Linked DNA regions of Alligator mississippiensis. The protein of the gene in region 1 purifies or fractionates together with the protein of each later gene. This does not show direct contact. Links are inferred from orthologs where the notes say so. Each region holds a gene or a part of one and is shown on either strand. Other genes may lie near its edges.

Region 1 (7,732 bases):
GAACAGAGATGCTGTTTACAAAACACCCAGTTCTGTCTCCCTTAAAAAATATACATTTTTTAATTGATGCATGACGTCACAGGTTTTATTATCCTTTCTTTACAAGACTAAGATGCTTAAGATACCTCGTGTTTTCACCAGGTCTTACAATGTTTGTCCAAAAAAATAAAATTAGAATTTCAGACAAGACTTAAAGTATTCGAGTTTCATTAAAAGTGACATGTGCCTAGACCAATTTATAGAGTAATGGAACAATTTATAAGCCTGTAGCTGAAACTGGTGTCTGTGGCACTTGGCCCAGGGAAATTCTGTGGGTCTTCTGTTCTTTGCAGCTGCAGAAGATAATTGCAAAGGGAAATATTACCTTCCAGTAGCCAAGCAAAGCCTTGCTTATGAACTCTGTATACCCTCTTCTTCAAAGTACAGTCCTTTAACTCGCTAACACAATGTACTGAATGGCAATTAGTTTCAATCTTAGGGCACATACATACAGAGACAAATGTGGTGTGTAGAAAACCTGCTAATATGTTTTAACAGGATACTGAACATAATTTAGCAACAAGTTTCAATAGGGCAGGGTCTTGTTTAAAAGCAGGTTGGTCAGTCATGATTAACCCTAGACTGACTTTTGGCTGGTAAATCCTGTTTCTGTCTCCATTAACCACTGCTGAGGTCAGCCAAGGACAGCAAGACATTAGTCCAGTACTGATGTGGAGAAAGAAGCAAGTGAACAAGAGCTCCCATTGAGAACTTCCTGTGCCAGATGGAGAGAAAAGTGGAAACTCTGGGCCCCAACTGCAGAAAACAAAGACTGATACAGGATGAAACAGGACTAATTCCTTCAAGCCTATGCTGAGACTGCTTTAGGGGCCAAGAGAATGTTCATGTTAGTCTCTTCTGGAGCATTCATATCCCTCACCAAGGAACTATTGAGGATAATAACTGCTTTATCAATCCTGAGCGCCTACAACTGATATCTGAACCAAGATCTATATGCTGTAAAAAGATTGTAAGCTTACTTTGCTGAAAAGTTCTCTCCCTTGGGAATGCTTTTCAAATAACATTGATCTGCATGATCTGCACAACCAACTCACAACCTACCCACATTCCTAGAGTTGAGCATGTTGGTTCATCAAAAAAGGTTTGGACACCCTAAAGGAACCTCAGCCCAACACTTGTGAACCTGAGATACGGCCTTCCTAGCTTATGCACCATAATACTCATGACTAAAATGACAAATGCCTCATTTCAGGAAGGAATTTTCCAGTTCTTTTTCAAACATAATGGCCAACCCTGGATAGATTTATTCTTGTCCTGGTGGTAAGCCTTTGGCTCCTCAGCAAGGTCACAGTAAAACTGGTCCAAAGGCTAACTGCAAGCTCAGCTTAAAATAAATGTTCTAGACCTAGCACAATTTGGATTTAGGCCAGGATATCCAACTACCTGCTCTAGTGGCATTGATGGGTGATGTCCAACTATCAGTGGATAGCGGGCAGATACTTGTGTATTCAGTGTGGTCTGCCAGAAGGTGCTGTTGTGTCATTTGAGAAGGGTGAGAGAGGTCTAAGTAAATGTGATAACAGAACTAGTTCTTTCTGGAGGCTACACCCAATGAGTAGCAATGGAGAAACTGAACCAACCCTACTCCTTACTTATAGAGTCCACAGACATCACTTTCTCTTGGTCCTATTTAACATCTCTATGTAGCCACTAGATTAACTGGTTAGGTGAATGTGGCTTCAGGTGAAAGTTATAAGCAAATGAAATACACCTTTATCTCTCCATCATTATGTATGACCATACCTTATCTCCAAATAGCCCAGTCTTAAATAGGAACCAAAGAACCAGCTGGTAGATGCTTAACCTGATCAGGACAGAAGTGATGCTGACAAGTAGAGGAAAGCCTTTGCATCTACAACACAGTGCAGGCTCCTTTGTAGATAGTCAGTTTGATATGCTCCCAGCTTCTTGGATGATACTAAACTCAAGTAAGTTCTACAAGAAATATTTTCTGTCATCTCTTGACTAGATAACTGGTGAATGATGACCCGGCCTGATTCATATATTTGTCACCTTTTAGTTGGACTATAACAACCCAGTGTAGCTGGATATGAAGCCCTCATGATTGAGGCGATTCTAGCTGTACATAACACTGCAACATGTCTCCTTGCAACATGGGCTCCCAGGAACACATTAAACTTGTCCTCTATTTCCTTTATTATCTTCTTGCAGAATATTGAATCATGTTCAAGGACTTTGTTATCTTCAGGGCATCAATGAAGATCATAGTCAGTAACTTTGCTCCTCTGATCAAATGGAACTTTTTACAGTTATGGTTACATTACATTAAGAGTAAATCTCACTTATGCCAGAAAGGAAGCTTTCTCAGGGGCTGAATCCAGATAGTGGAAGTCCCACTAGAACTAAAGACCATTGCAAATGTTGTCACTGCCATTCTCTTAGTGCAAAGTGTATTTCTTTGACCTTGCTTTCTCTATCATAAACATAGCTGTGTATGTGTGATGATGAAACATCCAAAACACTCCCCGACTCAGGTTTCCCCTCTGGGAAGAGGATCAGAGTAAATATGACAGATATTCATCACAGTGCTTAATGTATTGCTGGAAGATGCTCAAATACTGTGGTGATAAGCATGGCTTGAGGGCCTGCCTAGAGGAGAGTAGGTGCTGAGCAATTCTGAAAATCTGGCTTTAAATCTATATTTAGGGATCTGTGGGCGCTGTTTTCAAAAGGGGTGACAACTTGGTGGCTTCATTTGCAGCAGTAACTTGAGGCACAGTTTGGCAAATCTGGTTTGAAGAAAAAGGATCCACTGCTCTGAACAGCTGTGTATGTTCCTGGGTGACATTTCAGTCCGAAAACAAGAACAGTAGAAAAGGGACTGGGAAGACCCCTGCTCTTGCTCCTTCCACCTCCCCAGATGCAGGCGGCAGGAAGCCTTCCAGTCACTGCTTGCAGGGCAGTGGGAGAGGAAGCAGAATTTGTTTCTGTAGCGTGAAATCCCAGCAACCTCCTGAGGAACAAGAGAAGAGGAACTGGTAAAACTTGCCAAGGGGGTAGCAAAAGTCCCTGCAGCCATGAACTGCTGGGTGAGTTGGGCTGCTGTGCTATGCAGCAACTGAGCCAATAGCAACTAGTGAGAGGGAGTTCCGTGACGGGTGATGGAGGTGCCCCCAAAAGCAGCAATGCAGTTCCTTATTACAGGCAGGGGAAGGCGTAGGACAGAGGGAAGTGCCTCTGGGATGCACCAGCACCTCGCTGCCTGCCTGGGCTGGTGGGCAGCAAAGAGGGAGGTGTGGCTCTGCTGGGCAAAGAACTTCATGCCTTGGCTGCTGCCTGGCTACAAACGAGGAGAGCACAGGTTGCTCCACTCCCCAGTGGAGCTTGAGAAGTGCAGCAGCATTGCCAGGGCTTAAATATGAAATTATTGTATTGGAAGCTCAAAATTATTGTATTTTGGGGAAAACTACTGTACACTGAAAAAATGTGCAAATAGGTATGCAAATAAGTCTTCTTTTGACTGACTTTATATTGCTCATTGTAACTTGCCATTGAGTGAGTGAGAACTTGGTCATCAAAGTTGAAGCAGATCTTTTATTTTGAGGCAAGCAGTTTTAGGAAAGTGCTGACAGCAAACCCGAAAGTCTGTTAAGGCTCCCTGAAAGTAACTTGAGTTTTGCGTACAGGTTTCCCTTGCCAACTGCTGTGGTTAGGTTCCTCAAAGTTCCCCTGGTTGGCAAAACCCTGGGTGGCAAGACAAAAGGTTTATGAGAAAAATGGCAGGTGGCAGGCTGATGTGCAGCCATGGAAAACCGTATACCCTGGTAGCCAAAATGGTGCATAGTGTATTAAGCGTGGATAGTCAAAACTGTGGTTGGTGAGGGAAACCTGTATGTTGCATCAAAAATGATGGGCAGACAAAGTTCTTGGGGCCAATCTGAGCTTTTTTATTAAAGCAACCCAGCAGCTCATGGCTGCGGGGCCTTGTGTGAGCCCCTTGGCAAGTTTCACCAGTTCCTCTTCTCTGGTTGCTCAGGCAGTTGCTGGGATTTCACGCTACAGAAACAAGTGCCGCTTCTCCTCCCTCCGCCCTGCAAGACTCTTTTGGGTCGATCCGATATCTTCCATTAGACCAACTCACATTCCTTTTTTTCCATAGAAAATTCTTTTCCCCATCGATTTAAGTTGGTCTAATAAATGATGCCAACTTGACCCAAGAGCCTTGCCTGTCTGTGTCCTTAGACCAACGCGCCTACAACCCCTCAAAGGGGCTACGCTTGCTAGCACCAACTTTACAGGGGGCAAAACGAAACACTAAAAAGACTGTGCGCCCGCAACCCCGGAGCGCTCCTAGCGCGCCTGCGCGGCAGTAGAGCGCATGCGTGCTGAGAACAAAAGCAGGCGAGGGGGCGGGGCGCCGTGACGCAGGGCGCGGGGGGAGCCGGGGGGCGGGGCCAGCTCAGTGGGCGGCGCGGGCGGCCGGGCCAGGATGCGCCTGGTGTCGCGCGGTAGCCAGCCCAGCCCAGCCCTGCCCGGCCCCGCCCGGCCTGGCCCGCCGCCCCCGCGCCGCCGCCCTCGCGCGCCCCGCCGCCCTCGGGCGCCCCGCCGCCCCCTCGGCCGGTCGCGCCATGGCGGCCCCTGGCAACATCGTGTCCGTCATGGCGAGCAAGACCAAGACGAAGAAGAAGCACTTCGTGGCGCAAAAAGTGAAGCTGTTCCGGGCCAGCGACCCGCTGCTCAGCGTCCTCATGTGGGGGGTCAACCACTCGGTAAGCGCGGGCCGGGCCGGGCACTGGCGCGGGGTTCCCGTGCCTGCGGCCGCTGGCATCGCGGCACCCCGGGCTGGCGCGGGGTGCCGGCGGGAGGCTGCGTCCGATGGATCCGCGGCGCCGCGACCGTCGGACGTGCCCGTTAGGTGCCGGCGCGGCACCAGGCTGGAAGGAAACGGTCCTTGGGGGGAGAGAGGCGGGGGAGCTTTTTTGTCGCGGTAAAGCAGCAGGACGTCAGCATCTGCCAGGCGCCAGACCACTGCCGTGCCACTGCGCAGCCTGCGCTAGTCCAGCTGCACGGCTTCGGGGGTTTTGCTGTTGGTGAACTGGGGCTGCCCAATGTTAAAATTGGGAGCCCAGGAATGACGGTTTGGCATCTCTTTGAGGCCCTCCAAGAGGCTGAAGGTGCAGTTTGGCATCTTTAGGCGGCTGGTACCATGGAGTGGAGCAGTCACCAGAAACCAAGCGTTGGGCAGCTGGCTGGAAAATGCTTTTGCCTTTCGTTGTTACCCTTGATACTGCGGACTTTGTATTGTCAACTCCTGCTCTTGTGTTCATGGTATCGGACATGGCTGATACTTAGCTTGGTGCACAAATAGTTGCAAGTTGTAGCTCCGGATCAATTCCGAAAAGCCCAGTGTTCGGGAAAACGAGAATGTGTCTGTTCCTCCACTTGCCGTGTCGTCTGTCCTTTCCAGACCTTGCTCATCTTGTTTACTTTGATTTATATGTACTTTTTACATCTTTCCGTTAAAGCCCACTGAACTCCCCTTTCAACAAAGTCGTATTATTAGCTAACGTCCTGGCCAACATAAACTTGCCCACAATTTTCTTTTTAATCTTGAGCTCAAGTTTCTTCATATCTCTAGAAACAGCCTCTCAATAAACCTGCTGTGGGCATAAGATAAAGTGGCGCTCTGTAAAGTGACATATCATGAAGTAAATTCCTGTGCGTCAGTTGTAATGGCTGACATCCTATATACTGAGCTGGCAAAGGACTACGAAAATATCTATTACCTTTTGTAGCTTTAAGGAACAATGTTCTTCTCTTCTACAGTCGAGTAAGAAAAAAATGTTACGTGTCAGAACTGACTGCAATGTGCTTTTTACAATTCCTTATATTCTTTTCCTGTGGGGAAGAGTCAGTGTTGTGGACGTAGTAATCATATAGCGGTCTGCCTCTTGTTCAGACAAATATTTTTCTCTTTTTTAAAAAAAGAATCTGCTGATCCTGTTCATATTTCACAGCACAATGCTGGACCTCCAGAATTAAGCAGAGTAGGTGTCTGTGGTAAGTCTATGAGGGAGCTGGGATTACTTCTAACAGCCATGAGCAATTACACATGTCCTTGCTGAACATAAAGTAGTTGTGCTCTTAGAAGAAAACTCCCAAACTCATCCTTTACTCAAGTAGCAGCCGAAAGAATGTCGCGCCTGCCTGTCATTTATTTGTGTCTCTTATAGCATAGATTGGATTTGGTTTGCTTCAGACGTAGTCACTGGATATTTGCTTAGAAAGTAAATGAGTGAAAATAGCTTATAGCTAAGTGAATCTTGTGCTCCACTTTTCTTCATTTTTTTTTTCTTTTCCTTCTCTTTCTGTCTTACTCCCCCCACCTTCTTAAAAATTTGCTTTGCCCCATATGACTAACTTCCTCATCTGTGTGCGTGTGTAAACTGCATGCCTGTTTATTCACTTCTGTCAGTTACCACCTGGGTTATTGCCCTACCCCTAAGATGACAAAGGAAATCTGAGTCCTTGCCTTACTCTGTTTTGCACTCTTAGGTAATTGGAGCATTAAGGTGTGCTGTGAGAGGGATGTGCAACTGTGCATGAACGGCTGCTTGCTGTTTTTTTCTTCTGAAGAAATTTGGAGAGAAGATGAGTACTATTAGTTGGCTATATTGGAATGAGTGATATATTGGGAACAGCGACTCTACTGATAAGATGCAGATATCTTATGAATATGAAGCTGTAAAGCATGCAAGGCAAATGTAGCATGTTGGATACAAGATTTCAAAGCAGAATGCTGGGATTACATAAGAAATGCAAGACTTTTTGGAAGCTTCTTTTCATTGTGACAAGTCTCTACTTAGCTATGTTTCTTTGGTTAGACTTTGTGAACAAGTGGAGGGAGTGTATTATAGTCTCCTGCATTTTAATTTGAAAACAAACTAAACTTGATTTAGGACTTAAGTGAAATATTGGCATGAAATTAATGTTGCCAGTGAACTTTGCATGAGAAGTGTATTGCTGTGCATTGGAAGGAAGTGGTTCTGAGCTTCGGTGCATATGATCTGCGTTACAGATCTTTTGTGATATGAGTGTAGAAGGTAAAACCATGAATAAAAATCTTGAAATAAATAGTATCTTAATTTCTCATCTTGATTGCAGTTGCAAAAAAAAGTTACTACTCTTATCTCCTATTTTCCTTTCATAGGGAGTCCAAATATTTTAAGTACAGATGCTACATTTGGTCATTTCTTGCTTTGATACTTAAGCTAAGATATCTCACAGTGTTAATCTCGTTTGTTCCAATAAAGTGTATTTATCTTGTATTGATTTGGGGCACCTCAGAGGTGCCCCAGGGTTTGCCTTGCAACTAGAAAGCAGCATTCAGCAATTCTTGTGCAGTACCACAATCATGGGGAAAACAGCGTCCTGTAAAACAGGAGTGGTCAACCTGCAGCAGGAATGCCATGAGTGGCATGGCAGCCTCTGTGGCACAGTGGCAGATAGGGTGGGAAGCGGAGCAGCAAACTGGATGGGAGCAGGAAGCAGAGCAGCAGACTGGACAGGGGAAGGGGATTGGAATGGCACTTGGGGGAGCATGCAGGGCTTATCTGTGCCAAAAAAGATAGTGTTGTGCTGTAAGAAATCAGAAATAGGAATAAAAAATCCATTGAGAATAAGGATTGAGTATACTTGAGAGTCAACTAGT
Region 2 (7,370 bases), on another chromosome or scaffold:
TGGAAGACCTCGGCAGCCCCTCCCAGCTCCAGCCAACAAAAGGGATTCAGGCAGCTGCACTTCTGCCAGTTCCCTGCTGGTGCCTCGCAACCAGGGTGTGAACCAGGCCTGATGGCATTAACCCCATTTGTCATGGCAGCTCTCACGCCCGTGGCATGGCTGAAGCCGGTGTGCCCTGACCCTCATGGTTATTGCTCTGTGCCTTTTCCCATCGCCCCCAGAGTTTTGATGTTCTCCCTCTCTCCAGTTCACCTGCTTGCTCTCTCTCTGCTTCCCCCCCACCCCTTCTCCAGACCACTCCGTCTTGCTTTCACTCCTGAAAAAGGGAGAAAGAGAAGTGGGCTAAGGGATGGCAGCACCTGTAAAGGCAGGGATCACTTTACTGTGCACCACTTGTAGGGGCCCTGTGCATCCCTTTCCATTACCTCTTGGGCTGGGCTCTAGAGGTAGCTCTGTTGGCTTTAGTAGGGAGTCGGGAAATAGCTTCCACTGCTGGTTACTCCACCAACTGACTGCCAAGGGGGGTTCTTGCCCCTTCATCTGAAGCAGCAGCCACTTGAAGGAGGAGGGAGAGTTAGATGGACCACAGCTCTGGTGACTCCTGTGCACTTACATTTGGTAGAGTGCTGCTCTCTCTCCCCCCAAGAAGAGACCAGGAGAGAGGCCTTTTGTTTCAGCTGCAAAAGGGACTTTCCATTGAGCAGTGTTTCCAGCTGCAAATGTGCACCAGTGGTGAGTCAGCCTTCCTCTCCCCTTCCCCCTCTAAACAAACAGAAAATCATGGGATTGGCTGAAAATTCACGACGGTTTTAAACAAGAGACTGGGGACTCTTTTCATGGGTTTTCTGATTTCTGAGCATTGAGGGTCCTATTGTGCGACCCTTCTCTGCAAGCAAAAAGCGAGTAAGTTCCTAAAAAACAATAAAATATCATCCCATGACTCCAGGAGCTGGAGCTTTAATGAAAACTCCAGAGAGTGTGTCACTCATCAGAGTTGGCTATACCAATATTGTGAGGATCCTGTAAGACCCTGGAGATGCAGGGGAACAGGGCAGGCTGGGCAGAAAGCCTGATGCAAAGGATAACCCAGAAGAGAGGGAGCTGTCTGTGACGAGCTGTACGCGCCTTCCTGCCAAAGTTCCTGCGATAGCTATCTAGGTAGTCTGTGGTGCACTGGTTCTGAGAACAGAGCTCAGCAAACTTCCTTTGAAGTACCCCTGCGGCTTCACACAGGCTTATGTAGATGGAGATAAGAAGACAGGTGGTTTTTAAAGGAGGGTGGTATAGACACACAATGATTATTGGAAAGAGTACAGGGAGCCTGTGTGTGTGAGGGGTGGAGATGTGGTGTGCATGCGCCCATGCATGACTGGGATTGGGTCTGCTAGAGGTGTCCATGTAACACAGCTCACCAACACTTAACTGCAGACTTATTGATGGATGATGAAGGACTGAGCATGCTCCTGGCACTCACTTCCTTTATTTGCCCTGCATGTGTGCTTGCACATATGATAATGCGCGTGTGTGTATCTATGTAGAGTAAGTGTGTTTGATGACACATGTATTTGCAGTGTCTATTGCATGTGTGCACGTCAGTGGGCACTTAGGGCACATGTGGGGAGGCTGTAGTTGTGCAAGATGCATTTGTGTGTGTATGTGGGGGAGGGTTTGGATGTGTAAAGGGTTTTGTGCATGTGTATGCACAAGATGCGTGCCAGTGTTTGTCCCTGTCTGCAGTGCATGTGGGGAGGCATGTGTGTGCGTATGTGTATATGCACAAGATTTTTGTGAGGATGTGTAATATGTGGAGGGTGGGTTGTGTGTGGGGTGTGCATGTGTCCATGTACAAGACGCATCTGGGCACTTGTGTCTGTTACATTCCTACTTCTTCTGGGAGATCTGCATGCTCGTTTGCAGGCATTAACCCTCACACCTTTCTCTGGGGGGACCGTCCAGCTCTTTACCCCTGCTGCACAGGTGATGAAGCAGACTTATCATAACAGCCCTCTCATTCCACCACCCAAAGCAAAAACAACTCCTTTACAGAAAGTTCTGCATCTCTGGGGCCCCAAGTGAGTATCCAAGAAGACACTGCTCCCTCTACTAAGGGTCCTACTTACGTGTGTCTGGGTGGAGCGGCTTGGGAGGAAGAGCTTAGCGAGGGTGGTGGGGGAACTCAAGGCAAAATGGAGTGGAATTAAAAGGGAAGATGGAGTTTACCAAACCAGATCAGCCCCATCATATGCATTGACTGGTTTTTCTTTCCTCTGGAGCTGTTCATCAGCCTCAAATCCTTCCAGAATCCTGCTTTCAGTGACGAGCCAGCCCCAATCTCCCCTAGTGACCTGGTGAATTGCAGGCTACATTTCCTACTGCCCTAAAGAGCCCAGCAGCGCCAGCCTATTCTTCTCTGCAGCCTCGGGCCTCTCTCCCCCTGCAACACCCAGAGGTTTGGCTTCTGCTTGAAGCCCTTTAGGTCCCCTATCGCCCAGCACTGAAGACCTTTCACACTGCACCGTAGGAGCTCTGAGTAGTGTTTTTGCTTTTGCAGAACTGAAACCTGACTGATGAAGTTTTTCCAAAACCACCCCCAACCCCAGCACCTGACCCAGGTCCCAGAGCAACGCTGAGGGCTGCTGCAACTGAGGGGTAGCAACAGCAGCACTGCAAGGGAAGCTGAGGGCCAAAGGGACTGTGAATCTCAGCAGCCTGCCGTAGGTCTGGAGGAGGAGAGCCACTGACACCGGGCTGAGCGCTCAGCTCAGAAGCAAGATCACATGGATGCAAGACCCTGGGGGGAGAAGCCCACATCCCAGCACAAGGATGGCCAGGGCTGGGGCTGCCCTTGTCCCCAGGCTGCAGCACAGGGGTGTCTGAGCTGCAGCCGACCTGAGCACCCAGGTCTAACCCTGGGGGCCGCGCTCCCCCTGGTGCCTGGCTGGCACTGCATGACAGCTGGACAGCGAGGAGTGACAGTGCCACCTGGGGGCTGCTTGGGAAGTGCGCCCTTGCCAGCACTGGCATCGCACCCACCCACCACGCCTTATCCCAAGCTGGATGCCATGGGGGCAGGCCTGTTAATCACATAGGGATGGCGAGTGCAAGCCCTTTGTAAACTATACGCCCTCTCAGTCAAAGGGAGGCCACAAGGCCTGATCACTGGGGACAACACGTGGAATTGCTGGGCTGGGAGCGAAGACCAAAGGTGGATCCCAATGGGGACGCAGAGCAGAGGCACGGCCCAGCACCCAGTGCCCCGAACAAGTCCAAGGAGCCTGCAGATGCCACCCATCTTTTAAAAAATTAATATATATATATATATATATATACACACACACACACACACACACACACACATTTAGGTATGTATACACATCCTCTATCATAGACTTCCACTGCACCTTTTCTTTTTAAAACTACCTTAAGAAACCCATGCACCTGTTACAAAAACTACACCCGCTTCCCTGTGCACCCACCCTCTGCCCTGCCCTAACCCAAGCACAGTCCCTTAGTCCCGGCCCCGATTTGGGGTTCCCTTTCTCAGTTCATTTCCCATCCTTGTCACTGTTAATGTCGCTTCTACTGCTGCTGATCCTGTTGTTGTCCTCCTCGCCTTCTTTAGGTCCAATTGCATCGCTGTCCCCTTCGTTCTTCCTGTCCACTAACTTTCCCAGGGGGGACTTTGAACAGCCGGTGCCATGTGTCCCTTTTCCAGATGGAGTTGGATGCATCCTCTCCGTCCTCTCCCACCGCTTTCCTGCAGATGCCACCCTGAAGCGGGGCGGGAGGATGCTGGGCACGGGCCTTTGCTGGGTTTATCTGCAACCTGCACATCTAGACTGGCATCTCTGGGGGCACGGGGACCATCCCACGCCACGAAGGTACACCACGCTCCTGGCACATAGTTGCCCAGTCTGACACACTCAGCAGTGTGGGCTCCCAGCCCCAGCATGCCCCTGAATGTCCAGTGCCCACCAGCGCTGCCCCTTCTGCACACAGTTTGCTGCACGCCCCACTCCTCCCCTCCAGGGGTCGCACCCAGCCAGCCGGGCTCCGCACCACCTCCCCTTGCCAGCACTTCCCCCTCGCGTCCCTTGCCCGGCCCATGCGTGCCAACGCTAAGCCGGCCCGTGCGTGCTGACGTATGCCCGCCTAGCCCCGCCCCCTCCCGCGGCGTGCGGCGGCCGCAGTCCGCCTGCAGAGGTCCGGCCGGGTGGGCACGAGTTCTGCGCTGCCCCCCCCCACCCAGCCCCGCGACTCCGCGGGTTCGAGTCCCCGCGCCCGGCTCCGCTCGGCTCGGCTCGGCCCGGCTTGCAGCACCAGGATGTCGATGCCGGACGCGGCAGGCGGGGACGAAATGAAGCAGGCCAAGGAGATCGAGGACGCCGAGAAGTTCAACTTCATGGCCACGGTCACCAAGGCGCCCAAAAAGGTACCCCTGTGGGGGGGTGGTCTGCCCTCCCCTCCCCTCCCCTCCCCTGTGTGGGGCTATCCCGGGATTAACCCCTGCTGCCCTCTCCTCCCCCACCAAGGGGGCAGCAAGGGTTTACTCCAGGATAGAGGTGTGGGTGTCTGCCCACCTTGCCCCGGGACGGCGTGGGTTATCCCGGGATAACGGCTCGGTCTGTTTGCAACAGGGGGGCAGCTGGTTAAGCCAGCGCCCGCGGGGTTGGGGTTGACTTGGGGGGACCGGGGCTGTGCCAGCCTCGTGCTTCGCCCGCTCGCCTTTCGGGCGTCTCCCGGCGCCCGGGGCGCTTGCTTAACCTGCCTCCGGTTGCTGGGGATTGAGGAGCCGGGGGCTCCCCCAGCGCGGGCGGCGTTGGCTCGGGCCTGGGCGAAGGAGCCCTGCCTGCCGTTCCAGAGGTGCAGCCACAGCTGGAGCGCGGGAGCCAGACTCCTTCCAGCTGTTCCAGTTTCACCGGAGAGCTGTGAAACCAATGGGAAACCGATGTCGGCACTGCCCGAGGGATACCTGGCGCTTAGCATCCCCCGGCAGGTGGTGGTAGCGTGGAGAAGGCTCTTTAGACCCGTGCTGGGGATGCTCCTCCGTCAGGCCGAGGGGTCGGTGAGCCCGTAGAGGTATTCGCTTGACGTTGCGGGTGTAGGTAGAGGCTGTTTTGCAGCCCAGGCAGGGGGTTGGACTCGATGATCTGTCGAGGGCTCTTCTGACCCTCGCATCTATGAATCTGTGCTTGGGTCGTGCTGCTGACTTGATCTCGCTGTAATACTGCCCCGAGCATTGGAGGGCATGCAATGAGATGAGCTTTGAGGCTGATAACGTAACGAGCGCCAGCCCTGAAGGATGAATGCTCCAGGCCCATCTGGCGATTGTGAAGAGCAGAGGCACTGGCAACCTCGAAAGCAGCGGTTCTCAACCTTTTCTGTACCAGGACCCGTTTGTAAACCTCGATGGCCAGTCCCAAACCACTGCCCCCAGCCCCTCAGTGTGTGGGGCAGTGGGTGGGTGTGAGGCAAGGGGGTCCCAAGCAGCCCCTCGCAGGCTGGACCTCTGCCAGCCTGCAAGGGAAAAGCCACAGTTGCCCATGTTTTTCTCCTTTCTTTTCAAAGTGTGTTGATCCATTTTTAAAGTTTGTTCGCGACCCTTTCGTATATTCTTGTGACTCACTTTTGGGTCGCGACTCACCGGTTGAGAAACGCTGCTCTGAAGCATCCAGTGCTGAGGGTCTGCGGCTTGTCTCGGAGCTCGAGGCATCTTCAGATTGCTTTGTATCAAAATCATAATCGGAAAAAGGCCTTATTACTTTTTGCGACCCTTCTTTATTTTTAATGCAAGGCAGAGTGTCTTGTGCGTCTCCTTTGTGAGCTTCGAAGCTCATCGCCTTTATCTAGAAATTCCAGGAAAATAGCTGAGAGCTTCCTGCTATGGTTTCATCAGAGGAGTGAGGTCCCTAGCAGGTATGGTATTAAAAATGCTGAAATAAACCAAACTTGGCAGGGAAGTTATCAAATCCTTGCCCTGATTGACATCCTCTGGGCAAATGATTCTTTAAGGGGCAGGGTGCATTGAAGATCAGATGGGGGAAGCTGGGAATATCCCCGGGGCATTGGTATGGGTGCTTTCTCTTTTGTACTAACTCTTACTGAATAGCTTTTCAAAGGGGAGGCTTATGCTTATGCTTGCTGTGAGCACCAGTGTGCAGTGAAAGTGCTGATAGGAGTGAACATCCCTCCATGTTCATGCAGACAGGTTGCTAGTGTGTTCAGTTTCCCAGGCAAAGCGCCCAAAGGTGGGGACCATTAATGAGGAGGTTCTCGGACAGGAGCTAGACTGAGAGAAGAGCTGGTCATGGAAGAAGCAAGCATGCTCCTCGAAACAACCAACTGTGGCAGCCTGAGCGATCCAGCTGGTAGGATCTATATTAGTTCTGCAAACCAGCCTTGAGGATCTCCTGATATATTTTTTTTCTTCTTGTCTTTAACTTGGAAAAAGGTTAAAAAGGGAAACAGCAGGAAGTAAGCGATTAAAAGCTTAAACATGGTAGACTCTGCCTTTAAGTAGAAGCCGGAGAAGCTGAGGTGAAGCGAGATTTTGGCCCTCCATAGCAGTGCGTGGTTGTCTTTGAGACGGGGAAGGGGGCTTAGCTGAGATGCCTGCTTCACTGCAACCTAGCGGAAATCTTGTCTTGTTGAGCCGAAGGACACCAGTTTTCTTCCCAGTGAAACTGCCACGTTGCAACGTGCAGCTGCATTGTCCAGTTGTCCCTACTGCTATCCTTGGATGTTACGTTGGGTGCTTTAGAAACACGGGTGGATCTCCCTACAGCCGTGAAATAGTGAGGAATCCACATGTCCAGGGCAACTGTTCCTGTGACGGCTCAGGAATCGTCCTGTGTTCTCAAAGGACTGAAATAATCCTCCCTCCCCATCCTATACCCAACAGGGTGTTTGGTGTCGGTGGTTTGAGCTATTTTCCTTGGGGAATACCAGTGTCCTCATGTCTTAATTGCCCTTTTTACATTCAGTGAACAGGGCTCTTGGGTGCTTTTGTTTATGGAAGATTTTGGTAATGGAGCCATTTTATTTTGAGGTGAGGGTGGTACCTGCTCTTTGATCTGAGTGGGGAAGCGCTCTAAGTGGAGAAGATAAAATGCCCTGAGATGATAAAGTTGGCCAAGGAAGACTTCTTGCTTGGAGAGCCCGTGTGATCCCTAACTGCAATGCATACTATATCCTTAGAGTTTCTGGAGTTGATTGTAACAGCAGCATACTACTGCAGTGTCCGCCGATACCACCACCATGATGCTTCATGGCCCCCTTGATCTACCTGGTCAGGTGGGGACTACTTTTTTCATCAGGCCAACCAGCAGCTGTTTATTCTTATTCATGCAACAGAGTGGAGGTGCGAGATG

What was found.
Region 2: the proteins of PIP4K2A (region 1) and AHCYL1 purify together in Homo sapiens (co-immunoprecipitation; 3 studies listed by BioGRID and IntAct, counting the BioPlex papers as one, with this or other methods). This does not show direct contact. The link is inferred for Alligator mississippiensis from reciprocal best matches to the Homo sapiens genes PIP4K2A and AHCYL1.

What each region holds. Positions count from the first base shown.
Region 1 is NC_081828.1:186,242,491-186,250,222, reverse strand, and holds the start of PIP4K2A (phosphatidylinositol 5-phosphate 4-kinase type-2 alpha), read left to right. Parts: upstream 1-4,509; 5' UTR 4,510-4,649; coding exon 4,650-4,790; intron 4,791-7,732. UniProt on the Homo sapiens protein: Catalyzes the phosphorylation of phosphatidylinositol 5-phosphate (PtdIns5P) on the fourth hydroxyl of the myo-inositol ring, to form phosphatidylinositol 4,5-bisphosphate (PtdIns(4,5)P2). Has both ATP- and GTP-dependent kinase activities.
Region 2 is NC_081837.1:34,573,285-34,580,654, forward strand, and holds the start of AHCYL1 (S-adenosylhomocysteine hydrolase-like protein 1), read left to right. Parts: upstream 1-4,183; 5' UTR 4,184-4,324; coding exon 4,325-4,432; intron 4,433-7,370. UniProt on the Homo sapiens protein: Multifaceted cellular regulator which coordinates several essential cellular functions including regulation of epithelial HCO3(-) and fluid secretion, mRNA processing and DNA replication.